2 linked regions of the Struthio camelus genome follow. Each later gene encodes a partner of the first gene's protein in a complex. Links are inferred from orthologs where the notes say so. Each region holds a gene or a part of one and is shown in the gene's direction. Other genes may lie near its edges.

Region 1 (8,137 bases):
GTGACATGTTTTATGCTAGGTTGTTCTGCATATGTTTTTTTAGTTGCCTAGAAAATAAATCTTTCCAAGCATAAGAAAACTTTTAAAAATACTTCTCTTTTGGGTGTCAAAGATGGAAGCAAAAGACAAATGTATGTATTAAGCTGGGATGAAAGAGAGAAATCAGCATATTGTTTAGTATACTAAGTGCCCATTTGTTTACCGAAGGCAAAAGTAATTTTTGTTTTGTCCTGTGTGCTTCCCTGCTCCTTCCATCTCCTACCCACTTTTCCTCTTCCCCCAAACATTTGTAAACAGAAAATTAACTTAAAATGTCAAATTCAGTTTCTTCTCTTCCATTTCCTAGTTTAGTAAAATAACTTCTAGGACAAAGATAGCATGCCGATCATTATGACCTTTTCAGTACAAAAGTAGATTTTGGGCCATATGTTAAGAAGCTCTGAAAAACTTGTTAACAGTACTAGGTCAATTGTATGCATATTAATGTTTTTAAATTGTCAGATATATACCTAGAATTGTGTAACAGCCTTTCCTGGTTATATATGGCTCACATCCTCCATTGAAGCTCATTTGCTCTTCTTTCTGGCATTGAGGAGAAAAACTAGCTTTACAACAATTTGCTGTACATTACAAAGTAAAGTTGAACTCTTAGCACGAGGAGGGGAGGGGAAAGAAAAAGAAAGCCTGTTTTACTGGCTCGATCAGATGGCAACTTCAAGGTGATGAGAGGATGTGCTTCTCGCCAGCAGATAAGGCCGGACAGTGTGATGAGTCTAGGTTTGTTGTTCTCCTTCTTTTCCATCCATTGAGATCCCTTTTGGCAATCTGATGCCTGACGAATAAGCAAGGTGAAAGTTTCAGTTTCTTCAGTACATTTAATTTTAATGTGCTGTCAGGTGACCCGCAACAACTTTGGATCATTCGTTAACCTCCTGGATCGATTTTGTTGTCTTAAGAGCATGTTTGTTGTTCGTTCCTCCTCCCTTACTCTCTAAATCTGTTTGTTAGTTTCAGCAAGTTTTATAAAAACTTAGATCTAGATCTAAAGACAGTAAGCTCACTATGAATTAAATGAAAAATTGTATAGGAAAGAAAATAGTGTAGAAGAGGCTCTGGATTGGAGCCTCAGTCAGGAAAGGTCTGTAGTTTGAGGCTCAGCAGCTACTCAATTTGCCTGCAGGGTAATGACTGAGCAGGTGCCTGACTTGAACTCAGCCACTACCAGTGTTGCCTCACTCTACCTACCCTGATGTATGGCTGTGGCGGGGGGCGGGTACTGAAACGTTTTGGAGAGTCAAAGGCTTGGCATCAGGGAGCAATAGAGAAGAGCAGCTCAGGTTTGGAGAGATGGCAGCTTAGGACTGTAAAGCAAAAACCTGCAGGAAAGCCAGCTTTGCTAGTTGTTGTTCAGAGACCAATAAGTTTCCATTGTGTTCACCACCTTTCTTTCCTGAATTTCTTTTCAGGAGTAATGATCTTTGTTCTATTCAGTGTTGCACCTAGCCATGTTTGTGAAGATTGATGCATATTTTTGTTCTCTTTCAAATTTCATCGGTTTTAGAATTGAAGATCTACTTTAGCTTGGTTTGTTGTTAAAAGAGGTTAAAAATGTGTCTTGCTGGTAGTAATATATACCTGGTAACGCATGAATAGGCTAATTTTTGAATGATTTGAGGTGTGTGGTCATCCCTGGAACGCAGTTATAGCTGTGGGTTTATTATACAAAGCTATAGCTTGAGGCAGTGACATGAAGGCTCAAAATCCAAATTCTGATCTCATTCTAGCTGAGCAAATGAGAAACTAGATACCTGACTTAAAGGTCATGCTAGTAGGCCCCTAAGCACAGTGAGTGCCTTGGCCAGCTGAGGTTTATATAAGTGCTGCACGAAGGAGAATGAGCAGACTAGAAAATGCCCAAAAAGGGCATTTAAAGATATACGCCATGTGCTGAGTTTTTGATTCTGCTGATTTCTGGAACTTGCACGTTTGCTTATTATGCATATAAAATAATTAACCAATTATGAAATGCATGATAGTCACAAAATGGCAGGATACCAGTGAAGGATGTAGCATGTAACTGATTTAAATATAAAGGAAAGTTGTAGACTGAAATATCTGGATCCCAGTTATTGGACAGTTATGCTGTGCGCTTTTTAGGGAGCGGTGCAGAGTTATGCTTGCTACTTACCGGACTGCCCTGAATAAAGAAACTTGCATGACTAATCCATTGCGAAGTTGTGCATTGCACAAAGCTAAGTGAGTCTAGATGCTGGAAGAGATGGGATTAGTAGTATGTGATCACCCTGGTGTGCCTTTAGCATTCGGTAGGACAGAGTGACCAGTAGCAGAGGCAGACACTGAAAGAGGTCAGTAATACGTTACTAAAATATTCAGTAATATCCAAATAATTTGAGCAGTTAGAGGTATTGTAGTTGATGTAAAGTATATATAGTAAAATGTAGTTACGTGAAATAAATGTTCTGCAGACATAAGCTTCTAATAGTTGTACTTGCTGCGTTGTTGATGTTAAGATATGACAATCTTCTAGCGGTGGATAATTCTTGCAATACAAAAATTTCAGTTTTCACTTCATACTTAGAGTATGAGTTATTTGACAGCGTGATAATTAGGATAGCATATTGGATTTGAGGGTCTGTTTCTTGGTGTACTGAACTACCGATGTACTCCTCTTAATGTGTTTGGAATGTTTTTCACAGATTTCTTGAAAAACAATTAAGTACTGGAATAGGTTGCCCAGAGGTTTGTTGGAGTCTCCCTCGGTGGAAATGCTCAAGATTTGGCTTGATGGGACCCTGGGTAACCTAATTTAAAGCCCTACTTTCAACAAAGGTTGGATCAGGTAGTTTCCAGAATTCCCTTCCAGCCTAGACTTTTTTTATGATTCTGTGATTTAATTCATGCATAGCCATGTTTTTCTATAGTATTGGTGATAGTTTAATCCTATAACAATAACATTAATCTTGTTAAAATAGCCCAGATCTTGTTCTGCTGAAAATAAACGTGGGAAATAAGTTAGTCCACTAGTGAAAATGTTTACCACTGCTCAGTGGTACTGTTACGATAGGACTTGACGCTGTTCTGTATTGGAGAGACGGCCGTAATGCTAGTATTAGTAATTATTTTTATGCCTATGAGAGCAGAGTCCAAAGTGAAGAAAGAGCTCTCAGTCAGGTTGCCTCATAGGGGATTTTGCTTGATTAAACACTGCTTTATCAGGTTGTTATTCAAAACCGTGTTTCAAAGATAGCCAGAAAACAGTTGACCAACTGTACCAACTACTTTTTTTCTTCATTGTTTATATGTAAATCAAAGGTTGAATGCCTAACTGAAGAGGATTTTATGGCTGAGTACATGGCTTTATGTTGCAAAATGAACTGAGCGTGTTAAGACAAACTTATGAATCGCATATATATACTTTCAAGACGATTTGAAGTGATCGAAGCCTGATTTGTTTTATGACTTTATTATTATTAACCAGGTTTCTTCAAAATGGCAACCTTTAGTGGTTGGACTTCCTACTGCAAATCTTTTCTTGCTTTTGTGAGACAGTTCATTGCAGAAAACATTCAAAAATGAATGTAAGCTTGTAACATCCCTTGTAACGGTATGCTACCTAGCATTTCAAATTTTGCCAAGGAAATTCTGTGGTGTAGTTGCTCAGAAAATAATGCTAAGGTCTGTGTTGGCATGGTGAGATCTGTAATCAATGAAATGTGTATAATGCATCAGAAAACATCAAACTTTAAACCCACTCTTTAGAGACTGGGACTTCAATAGCTCTTAGTGGAGATGACAGAGTCCTGTAAGCCTCCTTATGGGAAAATATGCTTAAAAACACAAATATTCAAAATCTTGTGTACTAATGTGCTTACTTGCATATCAACTGAAGTGTAGGGACTAGTTGGTTGCATTATGATTTGCACTGAGTTTGGCTAGCAACTTTCTGGCTACTATTGCATATGCTCAACTTTGCAGCCCAAGCCTAATACTTTATAAGCATATTTTTTTACAGTGACTCCTTCTCCGTTACGTCTGAATTTTGCTGTTCTCTGGCTCTTTCTTTTTTCTGGGGGATGGGGGAAGGGAAGGGGAGAGAGGTAACCAACACAGTTGTTCTAGCTTGTTAAGAGTCATTTAGTAGGGAACAATTGTTAACGTGATCAGTGCTCCTCTAAAGTAAAAGCCTTCTGTTTTTTACCTGCTATATTATTGCTATAGATTAGGGGTTTTTTTTTTCTTTTTATCATTTCATATCTTCTTTCTTTGCATCTAGATCAAGTATACTTTTATTTTTCCCCCTAGCACCTAACCATTTTAGGACCTGTCACTTAAGTTGGGAATAAGGTGCTTCCATTCTGTTTGCCTGTGAGAAGAGATGTTTAATATAGATTTTTTTTTCCCTATTTTTCCCTGACTTTCTGACATAATACAGTCATCACAGACCATATGCAAACATATAGCACTGCTTCCAGCACTGATATTGCTGTCATCTTTCTGTATTGATAGTTAGATTATAATTAACTCTTGTCTGCACAATTAGAAATATAATAATTGAGGTGACAGCTTTCCTTGGGGGAGAATGGGGGAGGACAAAAGATCCCCAAACAGGCTAGCCCTAAAATAAAGGAAGCCTCTGTTCTAAATGTTTATTATTGCCATTTAGTCCATTTTCTAACAAGCAGGGAATGCACAGGATTCATATCAGATTTCTTTTCAGCAATAAGACAGAGCAAACTTTCTAAATTAGTATATATCTCAGGTGTTTTGGAAACACCACCTTTGGTCATTGTTTGTGAACGTGCTCCTCGTTCCCTAGTATTGAATTGTTACTATTTGGTTAGTGAGACTTTTTTTGGCTCTCCACATTCAATTTCAGTGCAGCAGGAGGATGCAGTAGATGCACTTCTGTTTTCTGTTTGATGGCATAGATGTTCTGCTCAATGGTATGAAAGGGTCGGCCAGGAGTTCCTTGAACTGCTCACTTCAGAGTGAAGCTGCTGGGGCCTAGCACAGCCAGACTCATTGCTAGATTCAGTGTTAAAACCTAGTTTGTGGTTCAGCTTGCAGAGTAAGAAAATTGCTGGCGTTGGAAGCAAATGGTGCTCTGAGGTTTGGATTTCTGGAAACAGTTATCCGAGGAAAGTGGTGAGCCGAAACAAACTTTTCAAAAATTCAGAACGCATGTTTTACCAACAGAAATAAGCAGTTCTCTGCTTTTTGCTCCTAAGTAATTGTCATCCTCAATGGTTTCTCAGTTGACTGTAATATGACAAGGTTAATTTTGTCTTTTCTTCCTTTAATTTATCTATCAATGTTATTCCAAAAGATATGTAATTCTTTTGCTTGTAAATATTTTTAATCCCTTCTTTACTGCCCTTGGAACAGGAGTTGTATTTTAACACTGAATTCCTGAGACTTGGTATCAGTGGACTGATGAAGAGAGATCTGATATAACCTGTCTAGACTCATAAATTTAGGAAAACAAGCTACAATCTCCTAGGGAATTGATTTTTTCCTTAAGCTGCTTCACAGCAATTGATGGTCTATATTTAATGAAAGATATATTTTTAAGTGGTGCTGGTAGGGATCTGTACACATAAGTATGTTGCCCTTCCTAAATCCTTTCTCTCTGGCTCTGATCTCCTAGTTCATTAGGAAAAAACTTTCATCATCGTTTCAACAATAGCAGATAACCACTCTCTGCTATCTTATCTAATCTATAATTTCTTCCTCCTCCACTTCTGCATTGCTTTCATATTCTTGTTACTATTTACTTTGTTCCAACCCATTGCATTATGCTTTTACTCATAGTTTGTTTCATGACTGATCTGCTTATTCTCTTTGGAACCCCTTATACTCTTCAAGTCCTATGTTAATCATTGATTCAATTAGTCCTATCAATTCTGATTTATTTTTTCATCTGAACGGTGTCTGATCTAGTGCTTTCCAAGATCGATGGAAAGAAAAGTTCTTTTTTTCATGAATGCGGTAAGAACTAGACAAGGAGGCATTCTCTCTTTCTGTTTTTTCCCCGTGATTTGGAACTGCCTTGTCAGCCAGTGCTGCACTGTGAAGTTGTCATAACCTTCCTTTTCGAACGTGTTGCTGTGGTTCTTGTTGTTTCGTGGCTGCTTTTAGTTTGCAAACTCAGGATAGGCAGCCATCCTGTAACTGCATTCAATCCCTAAAAAACCTCTGCTACCACTTACTCTGACTAGTTTTGCATATGGCTTTTATTTTTAAAAGATTCCTGTTCCTGTCATATTGCTTCAAAAAGGGCTGTAGCTGCTTCCTGAATTTAACGCTGATGAAGGTTACATACCTTACATATCTGAAGTTTGGCTGGATTTAACAGTTAATAAATCTCTGTTACATGCTAAAGGTGTTCTCTCCCCTCTTCATGTTTTTTTTGAGAGACTAACTTGCTTAGGTGAAATTCTAGATTTTATTAGTAGTAGAAAAGTGTACATGGCAGAGGCCAGAGTTTGTACTTTGGTTCCAAAGATCAGCTGCAGACTGAGCGTGTTCATCATATGTAAATATTGATGTCACATTCAGAAAGTTCTTGTGGATGAGCAGACCACTTACATGGTCACAACCTGATACATTTTGCACTAGAAAAACAATTAAGATTAAATAAACTGAGCTGAGTGATTTTTACAGAGGTGTAACATAGGGTAGGTAATCTAGAATAAAGGTCATTATCTTTGTTCCTAATCTCAGTATAAGCTTAAATATTAGGACTCTATGTAAAGGTTTAGCTAATAGCTTTTAAAATAAAGTAGCTAATCTAAATCAGTTACCAAAGCAAAGTAAGCTTGACAATATTGCTTGAAGTATTGATTTCAACTTAATTTCTCCTTTAAAACTCTTATGACAATCTGATGTTTTCAGGTAAACTGGCTGTTTACCTGAACATTGATTTGGCAAAATACTTGCTTTTGGTTGATTGACTTGTCCTCAGCAGAATCAGAACATAGTACTGTGTTCTCAACCAGGTTTTGTTTTGATGCCTTTCCTTTAAAATACACTTCTAGTTTATTACATGGTTGTGAAAGAAACGCTAAGGAAAGAAAACAATAATTCTGGACTTTTGTCCTCTTTTTCAGTCTGGCTGTACTGTGATTATAGTTCTGATTTGATAAGGTGCTATAGTGCACTCCCTCTTCTCTCCCAGCCCTTCCAAATTATGTTTTGAGGAATTTGCCTTTTGGGAAGTGTTACTTGTTACCGCTGTCCTGTGAAGTGCTTAATGGTGAGGGAACCTGGAGAGATTTGTTGGATCTCACCACTATAAACAACCTCTCCTTTTTGCTCCTGTTTTAGTATAAAGCAGCAAAGTTGGCACTGTGCCTGCATTCCTCTGTAATCAGTTGCCACAGCATGCTAAGATTGCTTTGAGGGAAGTAGATAAATATTTTACCTGCCAGCCGGGAATACAAAAGCTGAACTAGGAAGGATTGGGGACTGTAAGATCTACTTGGGAAAACTTGATTTTTGTGTGGGTGCGTGTGTGTGTATGTTAAAAATGCTTGGCACCATTTCACATATGAACTGATTTGAGACTTAAACCAACCTCTGGCTCCAAAACTCAACAATATCAGCAGTTCAGTAGGTAATAGACTTGTGTTCTAAAACAAGGAAGTTGTTTATTTTTGTGAATTAAATCAGTCTTGCTGTGCAAGGGAATATAACAAGCTTATATTTATAAGGTTCATGAGACTTGTTACTTCAAGGTAGCAACAGGAAGCTTTATTATAAGTGCTCATTAGTTGGGCAGCTGCATTAAAAGCAAATGAACAACAACAACAACAAAACCCTACGTGGGCTTGAATTATTTGTGAAGGCACTATTTATTGTTGGGATAGTTGGGGAAAAACAAGGGGTGGGGGTTGTCTCAGTCAAGAGAGTGAGTAGATCTTTACCAAGTCGCCTTTCCAAAGTCATGCTCTACCCTGCCCCAGTTTACTCCCCTTAACTTCACTGTCAAGAATTGTCTGGCCCCATCCTGCTCTCTGTGATTACAGGCCTTCTCCCTTCTAACTTCTACCCTGTATCACCACTGCTGACCTCAGTACTGATTACCCAATGCCTTCCTGTTGATTTGGGGTTGGAC
Region 2 (7,200 bases), on another chromosome or scaffold:
TAACCTGGGCCATTTTAACTCTGTTGATAAATAGTTCATTCTGGGTTGAATTACCATCAAACTCTCTCACCAGAGTGTAAAACTACTTTTCCTAGGCAGAAATCCTCAGGAAAACGTAGCTAGCTTATTCGCTGTTCTCTTACAGTTCTTCCTCCAGCACAAACGACTCATGTCCCAACTGGAGTGTAAATTGAGTTCTCAGTCCTTGGAGGGACTAGAAGGGGTACTGTACACATCCTATCTGCCCCATATACTTTGCAGCTGATAGCAACCTTCCAACATATTGAAAGGTGGCACTTTAAAAAACAAAACAAAACAAATGTTTCTTCATGTTAACAACCTTGCCAACCTTCCCTTTACAGGATAGGCATTAAGAAAGTGTGATCTTCCCATCATTAATTATCTTCCAGACATGCTGCCTTAAAGAGTTCTTATTCTCTTACTCTCTTTTGTTCTGCAGACTTTAGAATAAATATAGGTCGAAAACAGAAACATCGGGTAGCGCTCCTTTTTAAATCCCTGTCAAGCACACTTTGCCTGGGCTAAGGTATGACTGTAGTATCATACTAGTCTCATTGTAGCAGACTGTCTTTGGGAAAATGCTATGTCATATAGCCACCCAGGAACAGTAGGATACTGAGGCTCTGGCATTTTGTGACTCCAGTATAAGATCTGGCAGCTGTGGATGTCTCTAAGTATCTCCTCTCACTCCTTTCACAGACACTTGCAAGGTTTTTTTCTTAGATAAAGTCTCCCATCATATGACAGTGCTAATTTCCTATTTTTTTTCGTAAGTTTATCAGTTCTTCTATGTGGACTGCTTTGTGTGACCTGATGAGGAAGGGTGATCTTGTATTTGACCAATGCTGTTACCCCGTCCCACCTACAGCAAAGTATACGTAATATCTTACCTGAAGGAAAAACATGGGAAAACCAGCACTGGCCAATTTTGTCTTTGAATTTAAAATATCTTAAGAAAGTTGCTCTATCTTCTCTACCTTCTTGCTCTGTCTTCTGATCTTCTGCACAAGTGAGATGTTAGCTTGGTGCTGGCTTAGTACTTTCATCCTACAGTATAAAAATCATCCTCTTCCTCCCCTGAAAAGGAACAAGTTAATAACAAAGCATCATTTTGCCAGAACTAGACTGAGGAAAAAGGGGCTAGGGATCAATAGCAGAATTGATCCTCATTGTATTAGAAACACATATATTTAACATTAAAAATAACAGACCGGCTCAAAACTGAGTGGAAGACAACACTGCTCTAGCCTTCTTACCCATACTGCATTTCACTCTAGCCATCATGTGAATGGCAAACACTGCATAAAAGCGGAATCAGAAATTAAAAAAAAAGTCTTCTGAGACTATGTTTTTAAAAACAAATCTGTATCATTAATCTAACACTTGACACAAGGTTTGTATTACCTGCCAAATGTCAGAAGATTGGTTTCCAGTCTCACTAAGACAAGGAGTCAAACAGGTCATCTATCTGCAGATAGCAGCACTGGAAAACACCTATACTATGGAAGGATGTTAGACTGTGCCAGCCTGGCCTCTAGTAAATTTGCAGCCCTGCTCTGCAGACAATTTTAGAAAGCATGTTTTCCTGCTGTATCTGACATGTAAATAACAACAGGAGGAGGGCAGGGCTGCTTTTCCAAATCTGATATTTACATACAAAAAGGTCTGGACCCACGGCAACTACCAAAAAGGCAACAGGAGCAACGAAACTTGGCCAGATTGCCCCTTTCTAGCTAAGCCACAAACTGAACTCCCGTGACAGCCAGTCTGAGTTATCTAACAGCAGCAACATTGCTCAGGGGTGAAGTCAGACGAAACAAAGGCTTTACCAGACCCCAAAGAACAAGTATTTTAATTATATTCATACAGAGAAAATGTAAAATATCTTTTAAAGTAGTTCCTTGCATGTAGTTACGCATGCTGGACCAGGCCTATTGACCGTAGAAATATTGTGAAGGTTGCTATTCTCCATAAACCAGCACTGCAGTTGTTCTAAGCTGCTCCTTGAACAGTTTCATACCACACCAGACACGCATAGGACCACTTGCTCTGAGCAACCAAGTCAAGCGTGTACTTGTTTCTATTTAAATATATTAAATTCTATTGAAGCTTTGGGTTGATCCTGAGATAAGGATAAACTGTAAGTCCACAGCTGTACACCTCTGTGCAAAGGTAATTTGGAAGTTCTCCCTCATACGCCCTGCTCTCATCAAACCAAATGACAGCCCCTCAGGGCTGCGGTGAGGGGAATCAAGGGTGTAAGGGGGGGAGAAAGCCATCAGTCACTTGCCCCTCCCTTCTGCTACTGTCAAATGCTTATGCACGCAGCGAGTTTTAGCGAGAAGTGGCCGTGTATATATAGCCTTCCGTCTAGACATGAAAGATTGCCCCGTCTTCCCTGCTTCTTTTTTCAGTGCTGCTGCTACACGTGCCCTTTGTCTTTGCAGCTTCTACCACCTACGACAACCATCATATATTTCTCTGCTCCACTGACCCATTCTCTTCCATTTTACCGGCAAAATAGCATTAATTGCAGTAAAATCATTCTGTGGCCTCTAGGAATATAGCTGAATGCAGTTTTTTGCCTTTGTCTGTAGTTCTCATTTCTTCCTCTTTCCATTTGTAGTATTTACTTTTTATTAGGTAATAGTTTCATGTAAAAGTCAGTTACATTCGGCACATAACCCCTAATGCAAAACAAGCCCGGATGGGAGTGCAAAACCATAAGGTGTATATTCACAAAGAGAAGGCTGGGATATATTTGCTTCCAGCTTCACAGCAAAGACTCTTAGTTTACTCCTCATTTACACCAGTAAATCAATACGTAACACAGCACAAGTTTCCCAAGCCTCTGCTGGGAAGCGGTGGCCTCCTCACCACACTCACCATCCATTTTCTGCGGCCAGCACCTACTCCTCACTCCCGGTTCCCAGTTCCACCTGCCTTCGCCAAGCCACTACCCTGCTGCAGAAGTAACACAGCCACAGATTTGATGGAGAAAACACTAGAATTGAGAAGAGACCTTGAGCTTTGCAACTACAGAACAATAACATATATATTGCTCCATCAAATCCACAAACACAAGGCAGTAGGCAACTGCGCCAAGAGAAGCAGATGGATCTTAAGCACGTCTTTAGACAAGCAAGAGCCTCAGCACCTGTTTCTATGCACATACACACCCTGCTGCAACCGGGCTGCTTTTGGGCACGCACACTGGATCCGGCTGAACGGTTCGCTCGCTTTCCCAGCCTTAGCGACACCTTAGCATCCCTGCGTCCTGCTGCACCTTTGGGGCAGTTATGTTACCCCTGGTCTCTGAGTGAAGGGTCGCAGATGCTCAGCTGCCTGCTCAGGAACGGCGGAGCAGGGACAGGTAGAGGCACCTGCCGCTAGCCACACCGCTGCGGGACAGGGAGGAAAAAACAAATGTGAGAGGGAAACGGGGCTGAGCTATTGAAAGAGCTGCAAGCAAGGAAGGCACAAAGGCAAGCTACGACGGAGATGGCGTGAGAGAAAAAAAACAGTAAGGAATTGTGCTTTAGCCTCCTTCCCTATTTGTTTAGCACCTGCTCAGGCGAACGACCCGTTTACCCTGCGCACACGTTGGGCTGTCCGGGGGTGGACCGCACTCTCCTCGTCCAGGAGCGCTTGGGGCACAGCAGGGCCGCTGCCGGGCCGGGCCGGGCCGGACCCCGCCGCAGGGCGACGGCCGGGCTGGGCGCTGCTCCGCTCGGCGGGCACCAGGCCTGCGCCGCCCCTTCCCCGCAGAGCCTCCCGGCGTGGCAAACGCCTCGCCCCAGCCTGGTTTTTAGAGGCGCGGGGCTGGCAAGCGGCGGGCGCGCTGTTCGCCAGGCGGGGCCCTGGCCGGAGGTCGGTCACGGCGGGGGTGGGGGACGTGGCCGGCCCCCGCCGGGCCTCCCCGCCGCCGAGGGTGCGCGGGAAGAGGGGCAGGGGGAGGGGGCAGGCAGCCGCCGGCGCCGCTCGCCCAGAGCGGCGCTGGCTGAGGGAGCCCGTCCAAGCCCAGCCCCTCGCCTCAGCCCGGCGCGGCGGCGCTCGCCTCGCCCTCTGCCTCCAGGGCTCTTTGTGGGAAGGTGCCGGCAGGGGGCTGCAGCACCATGTCCTCCCCCAAGAAAGGCTTTTACCGGCAGGAGATCACCAAAACCCTCTGGGAAGTACGGGACCGCTACCGCGACCTGCAGCCTGTGGGATCCGGTGCCTACGGAGCCGTCTGGTGAGCGGGGCAGAGCAGCAGCCGGCGGCGGGGGGCCACGCGCCCCCTCTGCCCAGGCCCCTTCCCCCGCCCCCGGCGCGGCTGGTCCTGCCCCGAGGCGGGAGGGGGCTGCGCCGCCGGTGGGGAGCCGCGATGGCGTCGCCGTGGGGCTCCTGGCGGCTCGGCCGCCGCGCAGCCGGGGGTCGCGCCGGCCGCTTGCGCTTTGTTCCCCGACAACTTTTTTTTCCCGGGTGTTTTACCGCAGCCGGCCTGGCGGCGCCCGGTGCGGGCTTTTGGCGGGGGAGGTGTGGATATTTTTGTTGTGGTGGTGGTGGTTTTTAACGTGCCTGCCCGCCCTACACGTGTTTTCCTCGCTGGAAGGGGCAGGGGCCGGGGCGCGGCCCCAGGGCTCCCCCCGGCAGCAGCCACCGCCGCCAGGCGCCGGCTGCCCCCCGGGTTTGTCCCCTCGGCGAGGGGCTACCCGCTTCTGGGTTTTGTTTGTTTGTTTTTCCGCCTGTCTTTAAAGCTTTTGAAAAGCGGCAACTTTTCATCGCGGGGTCTGGCAGCGTTTAAACTAATGAGACCCTGGAGGCTGTGCTGGCCAGGGGCTTTCGGGGAGGTGGCGTCCCCCTTTTCCCTCGACGCGGTAAATGGCGGCGCAGGGAGGCCAAGCGACCGGCAGGTAGAAAGTCGAGGTCTGGGCGAGGCGGCGCCAAACATAGGCACCTGCTTATCGGCAGTGGGGTTTGCCACAGCCCCTTCGGCCCTCGCCCGCGAAACGCTCTTCCTGTTCCCTTAAAGCTCAGCTGTTGACGGAAGGAATGGTACCAAAGTGGCCATCAAGAAACTGTACCGCCCGTTTCAGTCTGAACTCTTCGCCAAACGAGCCTACCGAGAGCTGCGCCTCCTGAAACACATGAAGCACGAAAATGTGAGTTCAGTCATTAGCAGATCCCCTCAAGGTTGCTGCGGCTTGCAGGCACCAAAAAGAAGTGTGATCTGCTGCTGTCCCCTGATCTGCTGTCCCCTGCCTCCATAATACACCAGCCCTGGCAAGGCAGCTGAGTACCTGCATAGGATTCAGGAGTCTTTCAGCAAGACCTGTGTGTCTGTCTTTTGTCCGTCTGCCTTTTAACCTGCAAATACCAGTTCAAGCAAACTGGAGCGTCCTGTGGGACGCAGTTTCATTGCAGTCCATGTGCGTGAGGTTGGGTGGAGAAGGTTAGGACCGCGGTGGGATTTGTGCTCAAAGCTAGAGGGAGAGAGATTAAGAGACCCGAAATCTGAATCTCGATCACCACACGCATGAGATGTAGGAGAGTGGGAGAGTGTGGATCTGTACTGCTAGCATCTCTTTGCTTGAAGTTGGATGTGGCATGCACGCCTGTCTCTCGAGGAAGAGGTCTGGTCTTGCCTTTCATGAAGCGTTTGAAAGTTTCAGGTTTGTACTAATGGGAAATGGGAAGAGTTTACGAATGAGTAAAAAAAATTGCTTTAGAGGCATAATGTGTCTTCCTGGATGCTGAGATAAGGAGGAGAGATCTGTGTGAAAACAGTTTTGTGGGATGAAAGCATGAATGGAAACCAGGTCAGAAAGATCCCGGGGTGGGACTGGAAGATCACAGTTAGTGGCTTTAAATGCTATTTCTGAAGAGTACATGTGAAGAAAGAGTTTCAGGTGACTTTTAAAAAGATAGATACAAGAATCTATTTTAAAATGCTAATGATGTGGGAGATTATAGTTTTCCATGGAGGCTATTTGAGCAGAGCTAAGAGCTGGAAGGTGAGAATGAGAGAAGCCAGTAGTAATAGCAATAGCCAGTCGTTGCCATTGCACGTTGCAGTGTTAGCATTCTGAGTACCAGCAACAACTAGGTTCATTTCGAGGAATAATCTCTACGATATCCCGGCTGTCTGGAGAAAACAGACCTTACTGTAGGCTTATGAACCCGTGTGCCTGTTTACCTTTTAGTCTGACTCTTTTAACATATTTGATCGTTTTACTTGAGGAATCCTTAGAAATAACTGCTTTTTACCATTGTTGTATATATGTTAAAGAGTTAATGTTTAACTTGTGTGTCATACAGAGTCTTTCATACTCTCAGCATTTACTGTACTCAACATTTGGGAGCAGATCAGCTCATGCAGTTGCCAAACTCCTAACTGTCTTCCGAATTTTGAGATTATTTTTCTTCCATTTCTCAGAATAATTTGTTCTTCAGGTGGCTAGCGTTTTCCAGTACTGGCTCTTTTTGTGCTGCATATGCCCTTCAGGATAATACTCTGGAACCCTTCCATAGACTTGTTTGGCAATCAAAAGAGTCTAGAAGAAAACACACACTGAGGAATATGAGTGCAATCTGTACAAGTTACAGATGAATACGTAGGAAGGAAGGGAAGAACTTAGAGTCTTAGAAAACATTTTGGACCACAGAAATAAAAATTCGGTCTAGGTACTGAGGAAAAGTTTCATCATGACTTTACTCGTTAGAGAGCAACGAGTGAGTAAATGGTCATGCAAGGAATTCATAGGCATTGTGGAGACAGAAACCAACTGCTCCACCCGTCCAAGATGAGGCTGAAATGGCAGTACAACCCTTCTAGAGAATTTCCATCCTCCATTCCAGTCTCATACCATTCTACCAGGCATTTTGACCACTGTGAATGGGGAATAGCAGCAAAGCCCTTTAGGATTTCTAGCCCCTTGCTGATCCCGTGCTACTCCCTTAACCACACTGCCCTTCGAAAATTAGGCCAACGTGGCAGTATCACTCCTCAGCAGGATTTTCAGCCCCCCCTCTTTTGATCCACCACCCTTCTGTCAAAGACCTCCTTCTTTGTATTTGCCACCAAAGGATGGATTTAGAGGGAGACAATAAGGCCTGGAGTTTCTGGCTTCTCCTGCCTTCAGTTCCCATTCATGATGGCATTCCCCAGTGTGTAGCACAACTGCTGTGTCCTCCATCATC

The links.
Region 2: the proteins of PTPN3 (region 1) and MAPK12 are in contact, whole or in part, in a crystal structure (PDB 4QUM), measured with the Homo sapiens proteins. The link is inferred for Struthio camelus from reciprocal best matches to the Homo sapiens genes PTPN3 and MAPK12. Residues at the interface, in NP_002820.3 of Homo sapiens: Arg655, Leu671, Asn674, Arg675, Tyr676, Lys677, Asp678, Val679, Arg751, His812, Ser843, Ala844, Gly845, Ile846, Gly847, Arg848, Met883, Gln886, Thr887; in NP_002960.2 of Homo sapiens: Met182, Thr183, Gly184, Tyr185, Val186, Val187, Arg189.

The regions. Positions count from the first base shown.
Region 1 is NC_090943.1:70,023,415-70,031,551, reverse strand, and holds the start of PTPN3 (tyrosine-protein phosphatase non-receptor type 3), read left to right. Parts: upstream 1-4,902; 5' UTR 4,903-4,918; coding exon 4,919-4,964; intron 4,965-5,011; exon of another isoform or gene 5,012-5,166; intron 5,167-8,137.
Region 2 is NC_090942.1:22,878,987-22,886,186, reverse strand, and holds the start of MAPK12 (mitogen-activated protein kinase 12), read left to right. Parts: upstream 1-3,942; 5' UTR 3,943-4,136; coding exon 4,137-4,252; exon of another isoform or gene 4,253-4,329; intron 4,330-4,343; exon of another isoform or gene 4,344-4,808; coding exon of another isoform or gene 4,809-4,926; intron 4,927-5,032; coding exon 5,033-5,162; intron 5,163-7,200. UniProt on the Homo sapiens protein: Serine/threonine kinase which acts as an essential component of the MAP kinase signal transduction pathway.